2 linked regions of the Cricetulus griseus genome follow. The protein of the gene in region 2 purifies or fractionates together with the protein of the main gene of each other region. This does not show direct contact. Links are inferred from orthologs where the notes say so. Each region holds a gene or a part of one and is shown on either strand. Other genes may lie near its edges. The genes, in order: Tnrc6b and protein argonaute-3.

The links.
Region 1: the proteins of protein argonaute-3 (region 2) and Tnrc6b purify together in Homo sapiens (affinity purification with mass spectrometry; 6 studies listed by BioGRID and IntAct, with this or other methods). This does not show direct contact. The link is inferred for Cricetulus griseus from reciprocal best matches to the Homo sapiens genes AGO3 and TNRC6B.

Annotation. Positions count from the first base shown.
Region 1 is NC_048595.1:378,073,863-378,081,428, reverse strand, and holds part of Tnrc6b (trinucleotide repeat-containing gene 6B protein), read right to left. Parts: intron 4,267-7,566; coding exon 4,042-4,266; intron 3,639-4,041; coding exon 3,568-3,638; intron 1,746-3,567; coding exon 1,606-1,745; intron 1-1,605.
Region 2 is NC_048595.1:26,614,771-26,623,099, reverse strand, and holds the start of protein argonaute-3, read right to left. Parts: upstream 4,974-8,329; 5' UTR 4,786-4,973; coding exon 4,767-4,785; intron 1-4,766.

The sequences.
Region 1 (7,566 bases), about 350 Mb from region 2:
TATTGGATCTATCAACATATATTTGTTCACATCAACCACCAACAGTGATCCAGAATGTAACCATAACCCTAATGTAAACTGTGGACTTTGGTGGATTAGTTACCAATGAATGTTCATAAACTGTAGCAAATGGGCCATTCTAGTGAGTGATATTGATAAGGTATTATTGAGGGAGTGGGTCAGGGTTATTATGGGAAGTTGTCCCATCCTCTCAATTTTGCTGTGAATCTAAAGTATTTTAAAAAAATCCCAAGTCTTCAAAAGCAAGAAGATTGTCAGGTTTCTTTTGTTTTGTTTTGTTTGCTCCATGTGAGATAAAGAAGGACATCCACTAATATCAGGTAAGCCAGTGCCAACACCTAGAGCACCATTTCCATCCCAGGGGAAGGACTTGCTGCTGGGGCTTGACTATCACTTGTTTGTGTTCTCTGTGGATTTTTGTCATGGTGTCTGTGGCCCAATGGAGTCAACATTTTTCTGTTCACCAGGGAAAGAGGATAGTCAGAGTCTGATCCACTCCTGTCCACTTCATGCAAAACCCCGTTACATATAATTTCTTCTTTGGGCTGGGTGTGGTGGCATACACCTTTAACCCCAGCACTTGGGAGGCAGAAGAGGCAGATCTCTATGAGTTTAAGGCCAGCCTGGTTTCCACAGTGAGGTTCAGGATAGCCCAGGGCTACACAGAGAAACCCTGTCTCAAGATGTCAAACAAAGCTGGGTGTTGGTAGCACATGCTTTTAGTCCTGGTACTTGAGAGGCAGAGGTAGGAGGATCTCTATGAGTTTAAAGCCAGCCTGGTCTACAAAGTGAGTTCCAGGACAGGCTCCAAAGCAACACAGAGAAACTCTGTCTTGAAAAACAAAACAAGAGCAAAAACCACAAAACCAAAACAACAACAAAGAGTCAAAGAAGGCCAGGTAGTTCAGATAGTGGTGGCACATGACTCTAACCCCAGTACTCCGGAGGCAGAGGCAGGTGGATTATGATTTGTAGGTCAGCCACAGAGTGAGTTCCAGGAAAATCAGGGCTACACAGGGAAACCCTGTATTGAAAAACCAAAACCAACCAACCAACCAACCCACCCACCACCCCAAACAAAAAAACAAATAAAATTTCTTATCTACATGTTACCACAGTAAGCAGCTAGATTCTACCATGAAAAATAATAGCATTTGGGATGTTTTGCATTTTCATAAACATTGTTTTTGTTTGTGGTACAATCTATTTACTGTACAAATTATTTACATTTGAAGTTCTGATTATGAGCCTATGACATACGTTAGACAATGCAAACAGAGTTAGGTAGAAAGACTGGCACACCTTAGTATTTGCATGTATACATGACTGAGGTTCTTCTTTTATTTTGGTTTTTTGAGACAGGGTTTCTCTGTGTAGCTTTAGAGCCTATCCCGGCACTCGCTCTGGAAACCAGGCTGGCCTCGAACTCAGAGAGATCCGCCTGCCTCTGCCTCCTGAGTGCTGGGATTAAAGTTTGCGCCACCAATGCCTGGCCATGACTGAGGTTCTTTTGTGCATGTTTGTCATTGTTCAGGGCCAGAACACTCCTGTGTGCATCATGCGTCTGCAGGATACAGTACTCACATGTGCAATGCAGTCTGGGCCTTGGCTGCCTCTTGTTTGGTGCTGTACCGGATCAGGGCAGTGCCCTGGGTTAGATTCAGATGGAATGTCAGCAGTGGACCATGCTGCATGCAGATCGTTCTCAAGGTTGACCCATCAATCTAAGAGATAACAACACTTGTGAGCTAAGATGTAGAAGAGGCATGGGAAATTAATTCTAGGACAATTAAAGAACGACGCTAAGACCCATTATTCCTATTTTGTAATGTTTCTATATAAAAATAACTAAAAATAAAAACATAAGTGCCATAAAACATAAGCCTCATTTTTAAAAGAGATCAACAAACACGTGTGTGCTGATTTGTAGAGCTCAAAAGGACAGAAATGAGAATTAAAGATACCATGCAAAGTTATCAACATCATTACTAACACTTTATTTTTTCTGCCTCCTCAATAAATAATCTCACAGAGACAGACAAGAAAAGTACTGACAGTTAAAACTGGCCTAGTCCAAAAACAATTCACTCCAATACTATTACATTCCTCTGACCATATAAAGAGGGGAACTCCTTTTTGACTAAGTCCATTTGACCAAGGGCTGAAGGGATTATGGATAATTTTTCCAACACAGGAGTTTTATGAACAAACCTATTTACTCTATGGATTAATTTTCAACAAGATCTTAAATATATTTATTTAAGCCTTAATTCCAACACTTCAGTTCACTGTATTGGAAAAGGAATGTTACAATTGGGAATGCCTTAAAAAGCTGTGTAATGTGGTAGAACAGTGGCCTAACATACATAAGGTCCTAAGTTCCATTTTCAGCACCAGTGGGAAGTCTGAAGAATAAAACTCAGCAGTTCATGTTAGCTCTTCACAGAAAATAATCGTAAGTACGTCAGCAATTGGCACAAATTGCTTTTCAGGAGACAGATTTCCTTTAAACACATTTTTGGTGATGGAAAGTCAACTGCCCCATGCATCAACTTTGCTCTACTAACCACTTTAAACTAGGAGTGACATTAGTATCTTTACTAGGCAGCTCTAATCCCCCCCCCTTTTTTTTGAGACAGGGTTTCTCTGTATTGCTTTGGAGGTTGTCCTGGAACTTGCTATATCTATAGACCAGGCTGGCCTCGAACTCACAGAGATCCACCTTCCCTTATATCTGGTGTGCAGATATAAATGGAAGCAGAATGTTGTATACATAATAAATAAATAAAAAGATCTTAGAGTGTTCATTTAAAAAAAAAAAACAAAACAGAAATGCATTTCTCCATAGAGAATCCTATTAGACACTAGGATGTTAAAAGGCCTAAGAAATTTCCAACTGGAACTTTACCAGCTTGGCCATCTTCCAAGTCCTTTCTGGTAACAAGTTTTTGTATGTGGTTAAAACATACCATCCAAGTGGCATATCTATACAACACATTTCCTGACCAGTAGGTCATACGACCTCATTCTCACTGCTTCATAGCGCCTGCTCACCTCTAGCACCAGGAGGGTGAGGGTAAGGGTGAGGGTGAGGCCTAGGAGCCAGCACCCATCTTGTTGAAAGGACCTCTGCAGTGGCCATGAAATAAATTTGCTTTCTTTATAGGCTAGAAGAAGGCATCAGACCTCCTACATCTGGAGTTACAGGCATCTGATGTGGGTGCTGGGAATAAAACTGGGTGTTCCGCATAACCAGCAAGCTTTCTTAACAGTCATCTGTTAAGCCATGAGCCATCTCTCTAGTCTCATAAATAAGCTTTAGTATCTGCCAAGCTCCTCTACTGTTTCTTCCCTTTTTTGTGAGACAAAAGTTCCATGTACCCCTAGAACTTGCTATGTAGACCAGGCTGGCCTTGAACTCACAGACATCTCCGTGCGTCTGCCTCCCAAGTGCTGGGGACTAAAGGTGTGTGCCACAATGCCCAGTTTCTCTTTCTTTAAATAAAATCAAGCCTTATCTAGAAAAGCACAAGAAAATAAGGTTACCTGTGGAGTGAGATTGTGAAGAACCAGCCAGTAACTAGCACGGACAGAGCCACCATCACTCCAGGTAGAGGCTGCAAACAACAGAAAAAGGATGAGGAAGAGTGAGAAAAACAAAACAAAAAGAACACCCGAATCACCAACATTCTCAGGGAACTATAAAGGGGAACATTTTCATTCAGACCGTCTGTCTGTCTGTCTGTCTAACACTGACCTTCATGGTCTCTTCTAGTCCTTGATCCCAGTAAATTCATTTGCTTTTTGTGAGATAGTATTCCCTCCCACTGTCCTCCCCCTCTACAGTTGCTCATTTGTACTTCAAGTACCCTATAGAGGTTCTGGGTCCCTTCATCTGTACTGATTGCAACTTTTCAATCAAAAGATAGTTTTTCTTCTACCAGACAACCATGCTCTCCTCCATGGTCAGCCCTCCCCATAGTGCTAAACAGCTATTCCTGCTTAGCAGATCCTTCTCACCCGAGGCAATCCGAGAGTCCTGTGTCCCCCACCCCCTGACTGATCTGGGTGCTGTGCTGCTCCAGGGAGATGCCGGTTTGGGGTTGGTCAGGCCAGGAGGTGGGCGGGGCAGCGGTGTAGTGTTCCTGGAGGAGATGTGGTTTTTCCACATCTTGTTGGAGAGATGAGTGGGGTTGTGTCCTATGGGATCTGGGGACCACGTGGATTTGTAATCAGGGAACTTTGCTGTGAAAAGAGAAAAGTCAGTAAGCATCAGGTTACATGGGCATTTGCCCACAAATAGACACAAATTTTATCTGCACACACACATATATATTCTATAACTGTTTCAAAACATTGAAAAGTAGAAGGAAGCATATATATATTTGTTTTTCGAGACAGGGTTTCTCTGTGGCTCTTGTAGACCAGGCTGGTCTCGAAATCACAGAGATCCGCCTGCCTCTGCCTCCCGAGTGCTGGGATTAAAGACATGTGCCACCACCACCCGACAGGAAGCATATATTTTAAGAGGAGCAGTATGAGCTGAGCAGTGGTAGTAAATGCCTTTAATCCCAGCAACAGGGAGGCAGAGGCAGGCGGATTTCAGTGAATTCGAAGCCAGCTTGGTCTATAGAGTGAATGCCAGGACAGCCAGGGCCACACAGAGAAACCCTGTGTGTCAGGAAAAAAAGAAAGGGGGGGGGACCAGTATGAAAATAATTGTTCTTAGAGCATGCTGAATATGAAATTTTAAAATGACTTTGAACCAACCAAGATTTAATAAGGTAACTAATCTCCTACTACTTTCATGGGTAAATACAACTGAAAAGAGAAGATAAATTCATGGAGAAAGTATTCCTAAGGAGGTCAAGATAATAGACAGGGTTATTAGACTGCTAACACAAATAGAATTGGAGTACTCACTCAATGTTCACTGACTACCATGAAAAGCAAAACAAAACAAAACTAGAAAATAATGCACTGCTTGTGCCTTGACACCAACATTGATTTTAAAAATAATCAATAAGGCTAGAGCAATAGCTCAGTGGTTTGGAATACTTGTTACTGTTGCAAAAATCTGAGTTTGATTTCCATCATGGTGGCTCACAACCACCGAAACTCCAGAGGACCCCATGCCCTCTTTTGACATCTGTGGGCACTCTGGCACATATGTGGTACACATATATACAAGCAAACATTCACACACATACAATAAAATAAACAAATCTAAAACAAAGTTATCAAATAAGTACTATTGCTTACTATGCTTAAGGTACCTGACAGTAATGTAGATAACACAATTATCTTGCAGAGCCTCTGGTTTAGATGGGAAACAGAACAACCAAATTTTTAACCTTGGCAACAGAACATATGTTCAATACACAGAAGACAGAAAGCATTAGGCTGCTGGCAGAGGCTCTGCAAAGATAGATCTGAAGGGTTTACATTAAAGGATGTGCTCAGGGATGCAGGAAAAAGAAAACTCAGGTTCAGTGTAAGGCCTTTCCAGTTTTAATGGGGGCAGAGAAGTAAGAGGCCACAGGTACATTATGACTAAGTAAGCTGCAACAAAGTTTCCAAAAGACTCAGCACAAACTAGGGTGACACCAGAGCGGAACAAGTGAGTGGAGAGGAAAATTACAGCTGTCAAATATATTCCTGAGAGTGAGAGTCAGGGCCTGGGACCCAGGGAATGAGGAAGAGAGGAAAGGTGAGGTAAATAGTAAGGGACTGAGCTAGGGAGAAAAGAAAGTTATAAGGATAGGCAAGTTCAGTCTTAGGGAAGTCTCAGGTCAATGTCCAACTGCAAGGAGATAATTCCTGAAATCTGGGCTTTTATAGGAATGAGAGAACTAGATGAGTGCCAGAGAAGGTAGCCACGTGTCTATGTGGGCAAGCTGCTGGGGAGACTGAGGCAGAGGACTGCTTCAGCCCAAGGGAACGCAGACCAACCTAGGTAACTAGTATCTCAGTACTTAGCCAGTTTTGGCACATCCCTATGATAAGAGCATGTGAGAGGAGGAGTGAAATGAATGTGAGGTTAGCCTGAGCTACGCGAGACCCTGTATCAAAAGAAAACAACCTAAAGGGTTCTTAGTCAAACAAATGCAAGCATTAGACAAAAATTTCATCATTTCGTTATTATATTATGGTGTACATGTACAGGTGTGAATGTGGGTGTACATGTGGACAACATGGTACATATGTGGAGGTTCTCTCCTATTGTGGGATCTGGGGATCAGACCAGGTCATCCGGTTTGTGTAATAAGTACTGTGCCAGCTTACAGGTAAATGAAGTCCTGTTAAGTATGACACAGGGAAATACAACAATATTTTTGTTTGGTATTTGACATAGGGTCTTAACCCATGCCAGCCTGCAGGAATTCATTCAAAATCATCTCAGTTTATCTATTGAATGAGGGTAACCCATTTACACAGTAGGAGAAACTCAAAAAGGAGCTCACGCTAAAGTTTACTATAATGCCTGTAGGAACACTCAGCTAGCATATAGTATTACTGTTGCATTGTTGATGCGATACAACTTCTTTCTTTTTAAGATACTGTCTCTCCCTTAACCTGTAGAGCACTGAATTGGATAGACTGGCTACAAGCAAAGCCCAGGGATCTTTTTGTCTTTGCAACCCAAGCACTGGGATTAGTTGTACGTACCATAGCTCAGGTTTTTTTTCTTTTGAAACAGGGTTTCACTATGTATGGGCTGTCTTGGAACTCGCTATGTAGACCAGGCTAGCCCCAAACTCATGGAGCTACACCTGTCTCTACTTCCTGAATGCTGGGATTAAAGGTGTGTTGAGTTGTGCCTGATTTATTTATTTTTTAAAGAGCATTGTGTTTTTCCTCCACGTATGTCTGTGAAGGTGCAAGATCCTCTGGAACTGGAGGTACAGACAGTTGTGAGCTGTCATGTGGGTGCTGGGAATTGAACCTGGGACCCCTGAAGAGCCCTCTCTCCAGCCCTGCCTGATTTTTTTTTCTTTTTTTTTAATGTGGGTGCAGGGGACTGAACTCAGGTTTCCATACTTGTACAGCAAGCATTTTACCCACTGAACCATCTCTCCAGCTGCTATTAGTTTTCCATTCTTCATGAAGTCTCAATAAACAAATAAATGACAAAAGTCCAATTAGCCCTCCCCCGAACCCCACCAAATAATGAGGAACTCAATAGGTATTACTGGCAAGTTAATCTTTTTGACTCTCATTTTGTCTCTAAGTCAGATTTTGGGGGAAGAGTAAGCTATCACTGGTTGCCTCAATGCTCATCGGGATTAACCCATCTCTTCCTATAGCCCTTGATTTCTTGGCTGGCTGGTTAACAGAAGCATTTGGTTTTCAGGTCATTAACTGTGTCCTCTGAATATCCCCAGTTGTATGACATTTTATTCCCATTGGCTTTGACCAAAGTAGTCCTGTGTTAGCCCTACCCTATCTCCGTAAGACTAGGAGCTCCCTGAGAGAATGGTGAATGCAAAGGAAGGTTGTGCCCCCATCTGTGCTGACCCATGCTCTTCACCTCCTTTATAGGCA
Region 2 (8,329 bases):
CTGAGCCATCTCTCCAGCCCCTCTAATTTGATTTTTAAAATAAAAATTGGTTTATCATAATGACAGATTTGTGGTTGCTTTTAAATATCTTCATTATGTTTATAAAACCACATTTTAAGGTTAAATTTGTTTTGCTTTGTTTTCATCTGTTCTTTGAAATCTTGAAAGTTTTTGACACAGGGTCTCATTATATAGTCCTGGCTGACCTGAAACTTACGGTGCAGACTAGGCTGTCATAATCTTAGAGAGCCTTCCTTTATCCTCCCTGGGCTGGGTTTTCACCATACTGGGCCCTACATTATTTCTTTAAGAGGAAAAAGGGGGTGATTATAATCAAAGACCATTATATTCATATTTGAAAATGTTAAAATACAATCAACCATTTTTCATAATACAAACCTATGATTTCTTTAAAAGAAAAATTTTGAGACAAGGTCTCACTACGTATCCCAGGCTGGCTTTAGTCACAATTCTCCTTGCTCAGCCTTCCAGAGTGCTGAGATGACAGAACGAGTCTCATTCTTGATTTAGTTCTAGCTTCCTTTACATCAGCTTTCCTTTTCCAATTTAATGTCAAATGAGTTTTGTTTTTCCTGCACTTTGTCTATTCATTTATTCACTTACTTACTATTTTGTTGCATGTACACCCACATGCCTGTATCCTTGAATGTCTGTATTGATGGGACAACAAGTTCTTTTGCCTTTACCTACTGAGCCAGCCATCTTGCTGGCTTCCAACTGACTCAAAAAAAGTTATTAATAAAGAAATACAAGGGCTCTGGGACAATTATGTTCAGAGAGGAAGTAAAAGTTTAACTTAAGGAGGCTGGAGAGATAGCTCAACAGTTAGAGAACTTCCTGCTTTTGCAAAGGACCCAGGTTCAGTTCCCAGCACCCACAAATGGCTGCTCACTACACTCTGTAACTCCAGTTCCAGAGGGTTTCAATTCCCTCTTCTGGATTCTGTGAGCACCAGGCACACACATGGTATACAAAATACATACATGAAGTCAAATACATGGTAAAAGTAAATAACTCTTAAAAAGAAGTTTAACAAGATCTTCCCCTTTTTGCAAGATCGGATGAAAAATCAACTTACATATTAGTAACTTATGATAAATGTTTTCCCTCCATAAGCATCTTCCTCTTCAATGCTAGAGTGTGCTAGGAAAGCAATCCATAACTGAAACTCCCTGTCTTCCCATAAGTTACTAGGGAATACTTACATTTAAGTGTAATTCCTTTCTGAACAACAGGTGGACTTCACCTAAAATTATAAACTAGAGTACTAGATTTCAAAAAATAAATAGCATTTAAATAAACATTTCCTGATTTTCCTATTCTCATTTTATTTGAAAACAAAGCACAATTGTTTTAGACTAGAAATTCAGCTCAATTTTAATTAGACCAGAAAAACAGTTTCATCAGAAGTACCCTTCAGGGATCAAGGCAAGAAGCCTAAATTATTACTTCAAAAAATGAATTTGTCCATTTTTTGGTCAAATCAATGTTAAGACGGTATGGTAGTTTGAATGAAAATGGCCCCAGAGGTTCATAGGGACTGGTACTATTGGGAGGTGTGGCCTTGTTGGAGGAAGTGTGTCACTGGGGACAGACTTTGAGGTCTCAAATGTTCAAGCCAGGCCCAGTGTCTCAGTTCTTTTCCTGCTACCTATTGATCAAGATGTAGAACTCTTAGCTACCTCTCCAGCACCATGTCTGACTGTGTGCCACCATGACAATAATGGACTAAACCTCTGAAACTGTAAGCCAGCCCCAATTAAATGTTTTTGTTTGTACGAGTTTCCCTGGTAACCCAACTCGTTTCTTTTTAAGAGCTGCCAAAATCTTTGGGATGGAGAAATGATTCAGCTTTTAAGAGTATTTGTTTTAGTCAGGCAGTGGTGGCACACACCTTTAATCCCAGCACTCAGGAGGCTAAGGCAGGTGGATCTCTGTGAGTTTGAGGCCAGCCTAGTATACAGAGTGAGTTCCAGGACAGGCAGATCTACATAGAGAGACCCTGTCTCGAAAATACAAAAACAAAAATAAACCAACAAAAAGGTTATAGTGTCTCTTTATACCAATACAAACCCTAAGACAGATGGAACTAAATTAGTGGGCTGTATAAGAAAACACTGAAAAAATCCCTTACAAAGCTAGGCAGGGTGGCACACATCTTTAAACTACACAATGAAACCTAGTCTCAAAAATAAAATAAAACCCTTGTAATATTTCAGGTGAATAAGAAAGGAAGGATAAATATTTTTAGTGAGGAATGCGCCATCATAAAATTATTATACTTGTATTTAATGTCCTCTATTGCACTAAATAAAATTAAGATTTCTGTGTATCCACATAATAAACAATCTGTCGGTAAATGATTCCTGAGAATCTCCATACAAAAGAAAAACAGAATTTGAGAACCAAAAGTTTCAGTACTAACCTAACAGACTATTAAAGAATATCTAATTGTTTTGTTTTGTTTTGTTTTGTTGAGACAGAGTTTCTCTGTATAGCTTTGGAGCCTGTTCTGGAACTCACTCTGTAGACCAGGCTGATATTGAATTCACAAAGAACCGCCTGCCTCTGCCTCTGCCTTCCAAGTAGTGGGGTTAAAGACATGTGCCACAATGACTAGCCCAAAGAACCATTTTTGATGGTAACAGTCTTGCTCCTGATGCCAGACAACAGTCAATCATGCATAAACCTTATTGAAGAATGACTTTTATGTTTCAAGATGACCAAGCATGGTTGATAAACTGTTTTGTTTTAATTTTAGTTAGTTTGTTTGTTTGAGACAGGGTCTCATTATGTAGCCCCGGCTAGCCTGGAACTCTTTATGTAGACCAGGCTGGCCTCCAACTCAAAGAGATTGAACCATCTCTGCCTCCTGAGTGCTGGGACCAAAGTGTGAGCCACTATGCCATGCTAGTTAACTATATCTACCCTTATGTGAAGACTCATCAATTGTTCTATATTCTATCAGAAGAACACCCCAAAGGAAAAGGTAAAATTGATTTTCTGAACCAGGCTTTGCTAACTGTATCAGCTGACTAGGTGGTCTGATATCACAAGTACTTTCTAGATCGTATTTTCACATGAAAAACCTAAAGGGGGAATACCTCATTAGGGGGAGATATCTTCAAAAGTTTTAGGTAGATGATTAACAAAATATTTAATTTCATATTTGGTTTTTCAGGCTTAACAATAGAGTAGTTATGTAAAAGTCAGATCTCTGGAAATAATCAGATATCTTATAAAGTAAGAAAAGTACAAATAAAATGTAAAATTTAAGAACAAAGAAAAGACAATGGAAATACACAAATTGATAATAAGAGTCTAAAACTTCAGTCTAGACAAATTTTGCTTTTTAGAAAAATATGGAGAAGAGAAGCCGGGCATTGGTGGCACATGCCTTTAATCCCAGCACTCGGGAGGCAGAGGCAGGCGGATCTCTGTGGGTTCGAGATCAGCCTGGTCTACAAGAGCTAATTCCAGGACAGCCCCCAAAGCCACAGAGAAACCCTGTCTCGAAAAACCAAAAAAAAAAAAAAAAAAAAAAAAAAAAAAAAAAAAAAAAAAAAAGAAAGAAAGAAAGAGAGAAGAGAAAAAATGGAACATAAAGGGAAAAATGGTAGAAACAGAGTAGAAAGAGATTCCATGTAATCCAGAAAATGCCTTTTTGTATCCATTTTGACAATTATGTCACTAGTTTGTTTTTTTTTACATTAGTTTACATTACATATTTGGGGACTTTCAAATTGGCAAGGGAAGATATGAAATTCAGGGATTTGTTATACAATAATAACAAGGCAATCCCCCCAAATATTATAGAAACTATACCATTACTGATCTTGTGGATGAAGAGAACTTTCAAATTTAGGGAACAAGGGTGATTACTTGGTAAGCAAACCGTTATGTAACACCTATTTCTTGTTGCTTTATCAGTTACTTCAGAATCGCTGACCTTTCTTTCTTTCTTTCCCTCTCTCTCTCTCTCTCTCTCTCTCTCTCTCTCTCTCGTCTCTCTCTCTCTCTCTCTCTCTCTCTCTCTCTCTCTCCTCTCTTTCTTTCTTAGGACAAGTACTGTCCAGGCTGGCTTCCTTTCTCAAGGCTGCCATTTTTCTCTCCAGAGACAAAACCGTTTTCCTACACCCCAGATTTCCAGGTATGTGGACAACTGCTGCCGTAGGGAACAGAAAATCGGGGGAAACAGTGCCAACATTCTGAAGATCTACCTTCTCACATAAGTGGTGATCCAGACCGAGAGGACCTCGCCAAGCTCCTCGGAAAACTACATACCACACTGCCACAGACAGAGTGAGTCTGGGGATGCAAGCAATGCCGTCCTGCATCTGACTTAAACTTAAGCCCATCGGTGATCTCAGAATACCTTCAGACTACTTTAAGAGGTAGAAAAGGGGACTGACTATCCAGCCTACATGGGACGCGCGACCCGGCTAAGGGATAAGCGCTGCCTTGACGTTTCCAAATGGAATTACAAAAGCAAGGGCAAACTCCTCTGTATCCTCAGGGGAGAAGAAGCACTCCAGGGGGATGACATCGCCTAGATAAACCCAAACTTAAACCCTCCTGGTAGTTTTGCCAACTCAGTGGCCCCGGGAGGGTAGCTGCGGTGCTGTGGAGAAGCCAGCGGCGTTGGGCCCGAAAACCAACGGCTCCCTTAATGAAGGCGCAAGGATGCTCGGGGGACGACCGTTGGGTGACGACCCTACCTGCCCCGTCCGGCAGCCCCGACTTACCTGCGGAGCCGATTTCCATTCATGGAGCTGGGGGCAGTGCTTCACGAGAGAACGGTGCGGCCACTGAGGCGAGGAAGGGGCGCCCTGCGAAAGCTCAGGGCAGAAGAGCCACTGTCGGGAGACAGCCCGCAGCTAGGCGAGAACAGAGAGAGGCGTGAGGCGAGGACGCTGAAGCCCGGTCCGGAACTTGCGTCGCACACGGTTGCTGACGCGTGCACAGCTCCCCAAACCGCCGGCCACCGCCGTTGCTCGCTCTCCCGGGTTGCCCCCGGAAGCCCGCCCGCGTCAGTTCCGCTCCCCGGACCGTGCCCCGCTCGCGGGGTCCGCAACTCGCCTGGAGCCGGATCTGTGCGGTGACAACGTCCGAGCCGGCCTGGCCAGCGCATGGAGGACTCTGGGGAGGTGTGGGAGGGTGAGCGAGCGGGTGACAGGCCGGGGCGGAGCCGTGAGAGCGCGGCCGCCCAGCACCCGCTGTGCCTGACGGTGACAATCCCGAGCCAGAGGCCAGCCTCCCCCGTGACAGCCTTCCAGGCGGGGACCGGTCGGGGCCGCTGCCTGAGGCGACGTCACTGCCAGCCCCGAGGAGCTTACCTGAGGGACAGTTCTACCTGAGAATGACAGATGACCATCCAAGGACATCCTCCCTCCTAGCTCCGCCTGCCACGCCCGCTCTGAGCACAAGTACTAGGCGGTAACCACAAGAGATTTCGCTAAGTACCCGAGGTTGCTTTGACAACTTTTTTTTTTTTAAAGATGGTTAAAATAAATTCAATGTAGTTTTAAAACAGAAGACTAAGAAACAGGACATTACATAGAGTACAAGAAGGAATCATTTCTGTGTTTAAACACTCTCCTAATCCCCTTGAAGAACATAAACTCCCTTCTGGCGTTAAAGCACCTGGCTAAGGAGCCAAGGCCTTTTCCCTCTGGACCCCTCAAGACTGTATTAGACTAAGCTGGTCCACTTCCAGCTCCCCCGACCTGGTCAGGTGCTTTTCTGCTGAATTGGAGCCTTTGGGTTCCCTTGGCCAGGAATTCTCCCTTTCCCATCCCATGCCAAACTTTCACTTAAGTCATCTCCGGTGGCCTTTCCTGGACACTGGTCTACCCGATCTGTAGGATGTGGACTACTTTTTGACCTGCCTCCAACCCATCAGAATCGGAGGCCAGATCCAGCACATGCAAGCAGACCATCCTTTTAAAATTACTTAGCTTAGTGAAAACAGATACTATTTTATGCAGGCTTAGCAGTGACTCATTATTTTCCCTGTGTCCCAATTAACCAGTGATGTTTTAACTTTAAATATGCATATATAACATTTTAAAAAGAAACGTTATTTTCAGGATCCTTTCCCTCCCGGTTATATGGACTTTTGGATCAGCCACTTTATCTCTTTGGGCTTCAGTTCCCTCATCAGAAAGATCGACATGTATAGTGCACAGAAAGCTCAGAAGAAACTCTCCCAAATGTTAATAACAAAAATATTTACATGCTGACAATTTTGATGCACTTAATGGACATGCTTACTATACAATAAATGGTGGGGACTCCAAGCCCCATCTCACTTTCTTCTTCCTGTTGACTGAAAATGACCTTCCAAATGTTTAAAATATCAAATCACTAGATCCATCGGCACATCTTAAAAGTCAATCCAGAGCTTGATGGCATGATCAAAGCCTGAAGAGTGAATCCCAAATTTGTGCAAGGGCCTATTATACCCTCATCTCTTGATTCTGTGACTACTTCCTTAAATGAATGCAAGCTTACCTAGCTTCTTCTAGAAAACACAGTGTGGTCACAAAATGAGTGGTTTTGTTTTATTTTGGATGTGTACAGATGTTTGGTCTGCATATAACTCTATCGGTGTGTGTGTGGTGCTCACGGAGGCCAGGAGAGGGTGTCAGACTAGAGTTAGTCAGTTGTGAGCAGCCATGTGGGTGCTGGTAATAGAACCTGGGTCTTTTGGAAGAGCAGCCCATGACCTTGACCACTGATCCACCTCTTCAGCCCCAAGGTAGTGTCTTTTTGAACACTTAAACAAGATCTGGGCCCTAAGATTCAATAAAATCTAACAAATGTCTCTGATGTGTTCTTGCCTTCTTCTGCTATGCAGAACCACACCTCTTTAGAGTAAGCCCATGTGAAAGGCTCATGAATTAAAATTTAAAGCAGGGAGGTGAAAAGGTCTTGGAGGTTCTTGCCAATACAAAAGTATATGAGGTTTTCCCCTGACCAAATACTGTTTTGAGGTAACATACTTCCAAAGGTCACAAAGGTTTGTGTATCTTGTTAACTGCCACAGCTTCAGTGCCTACAACAATGCTTACTGCTATCCTGTAAGAACACAATCAGTTTTTTTAAAAAAAGAAGAGCACATTAAATAACTGGATGAATGGATGGATGGACGGATGGATGGAACTCAAGGACAGGGTTCAAGAAGCAGGCTAAAACCCTGGCTTTATTCCTGATAGCACTGATTGTTCTCAGAAGGAGAACTACAAAATACAAAATCTCAGATGCAGAGATGTCTGTGCCCCCTGAGCACCTCAGCAGCCATCAGACAATGAAAATTTCTTTAAATACTATACAAAAAGCATTAACTAGAAAAGTAAAAAAGGCAATAAATTTAACCTTAAATCAATAAATTGAACATAAAAACGAAAAACTTTTCCTATCCAAAGTGAAAGGCAAGCCATGGATTAGGAAAAATTAATTGATATATATATATATACATATATATATGTATATATATATGAATACACACACATATATGCACATACATATCTCCAATAAAGAACTTGAATTTTATAAGCTTTTATAGCCCGAGACAAACAATACAAATTTAAAATGAGTAAAATATATGAACAACTTAATGATATCAGGATAGCAAATAGGTATATGGATACATGACAGACGCCAAAGCAAAGCACAATGAAATACCAAATACTCAGTGCACTTAAAGGATAGAGTACCCAACTACCTGCTTTAATATGTAGGAAGACCTCAGGCTTACCAATGGCTCGGGGACTAAGAATGCTCACTTTCTTCCCAACTACCACTATTCTAATACCTTAGTGCGTCTATACTCTACTTCCTGTGTTAGATAAGAAGAACTAGAAAAAACGACAGCCTCTACCAGCAGTTTCTGCAATAATGACTTGGCACTTGCAGCAAACACAATATAAAACAGGCTTTAGGAACACCCAGAGCCTAGACTGAAGGCTCTTTGCTACTCACCATAAGACAGGGTATCCACCCAGTAGTCCTTACCTGATTCTTTCTTGTTAGACCTAACTAACCTTCCTAATCCTTATGATACAATGGCTAACTCCTATTTAACTCCTATAAGGGCTCATTTTTGCTTTGCTAGTGGCATGAGAAAATACATGAAGCCTGAATTGATAGGGCATCCAGAGGAAGACTTCCTTGTTTTAGAATGAACACTTGACAGGGGTGGGGAAATAAGTCCTACTAACTTCTGTTAGAAATTGTTTTGTCATCATTTCCTTCCTGGAATTACAGTAGCTATCCTGAGACCATTATATGAACCGATAACACACAG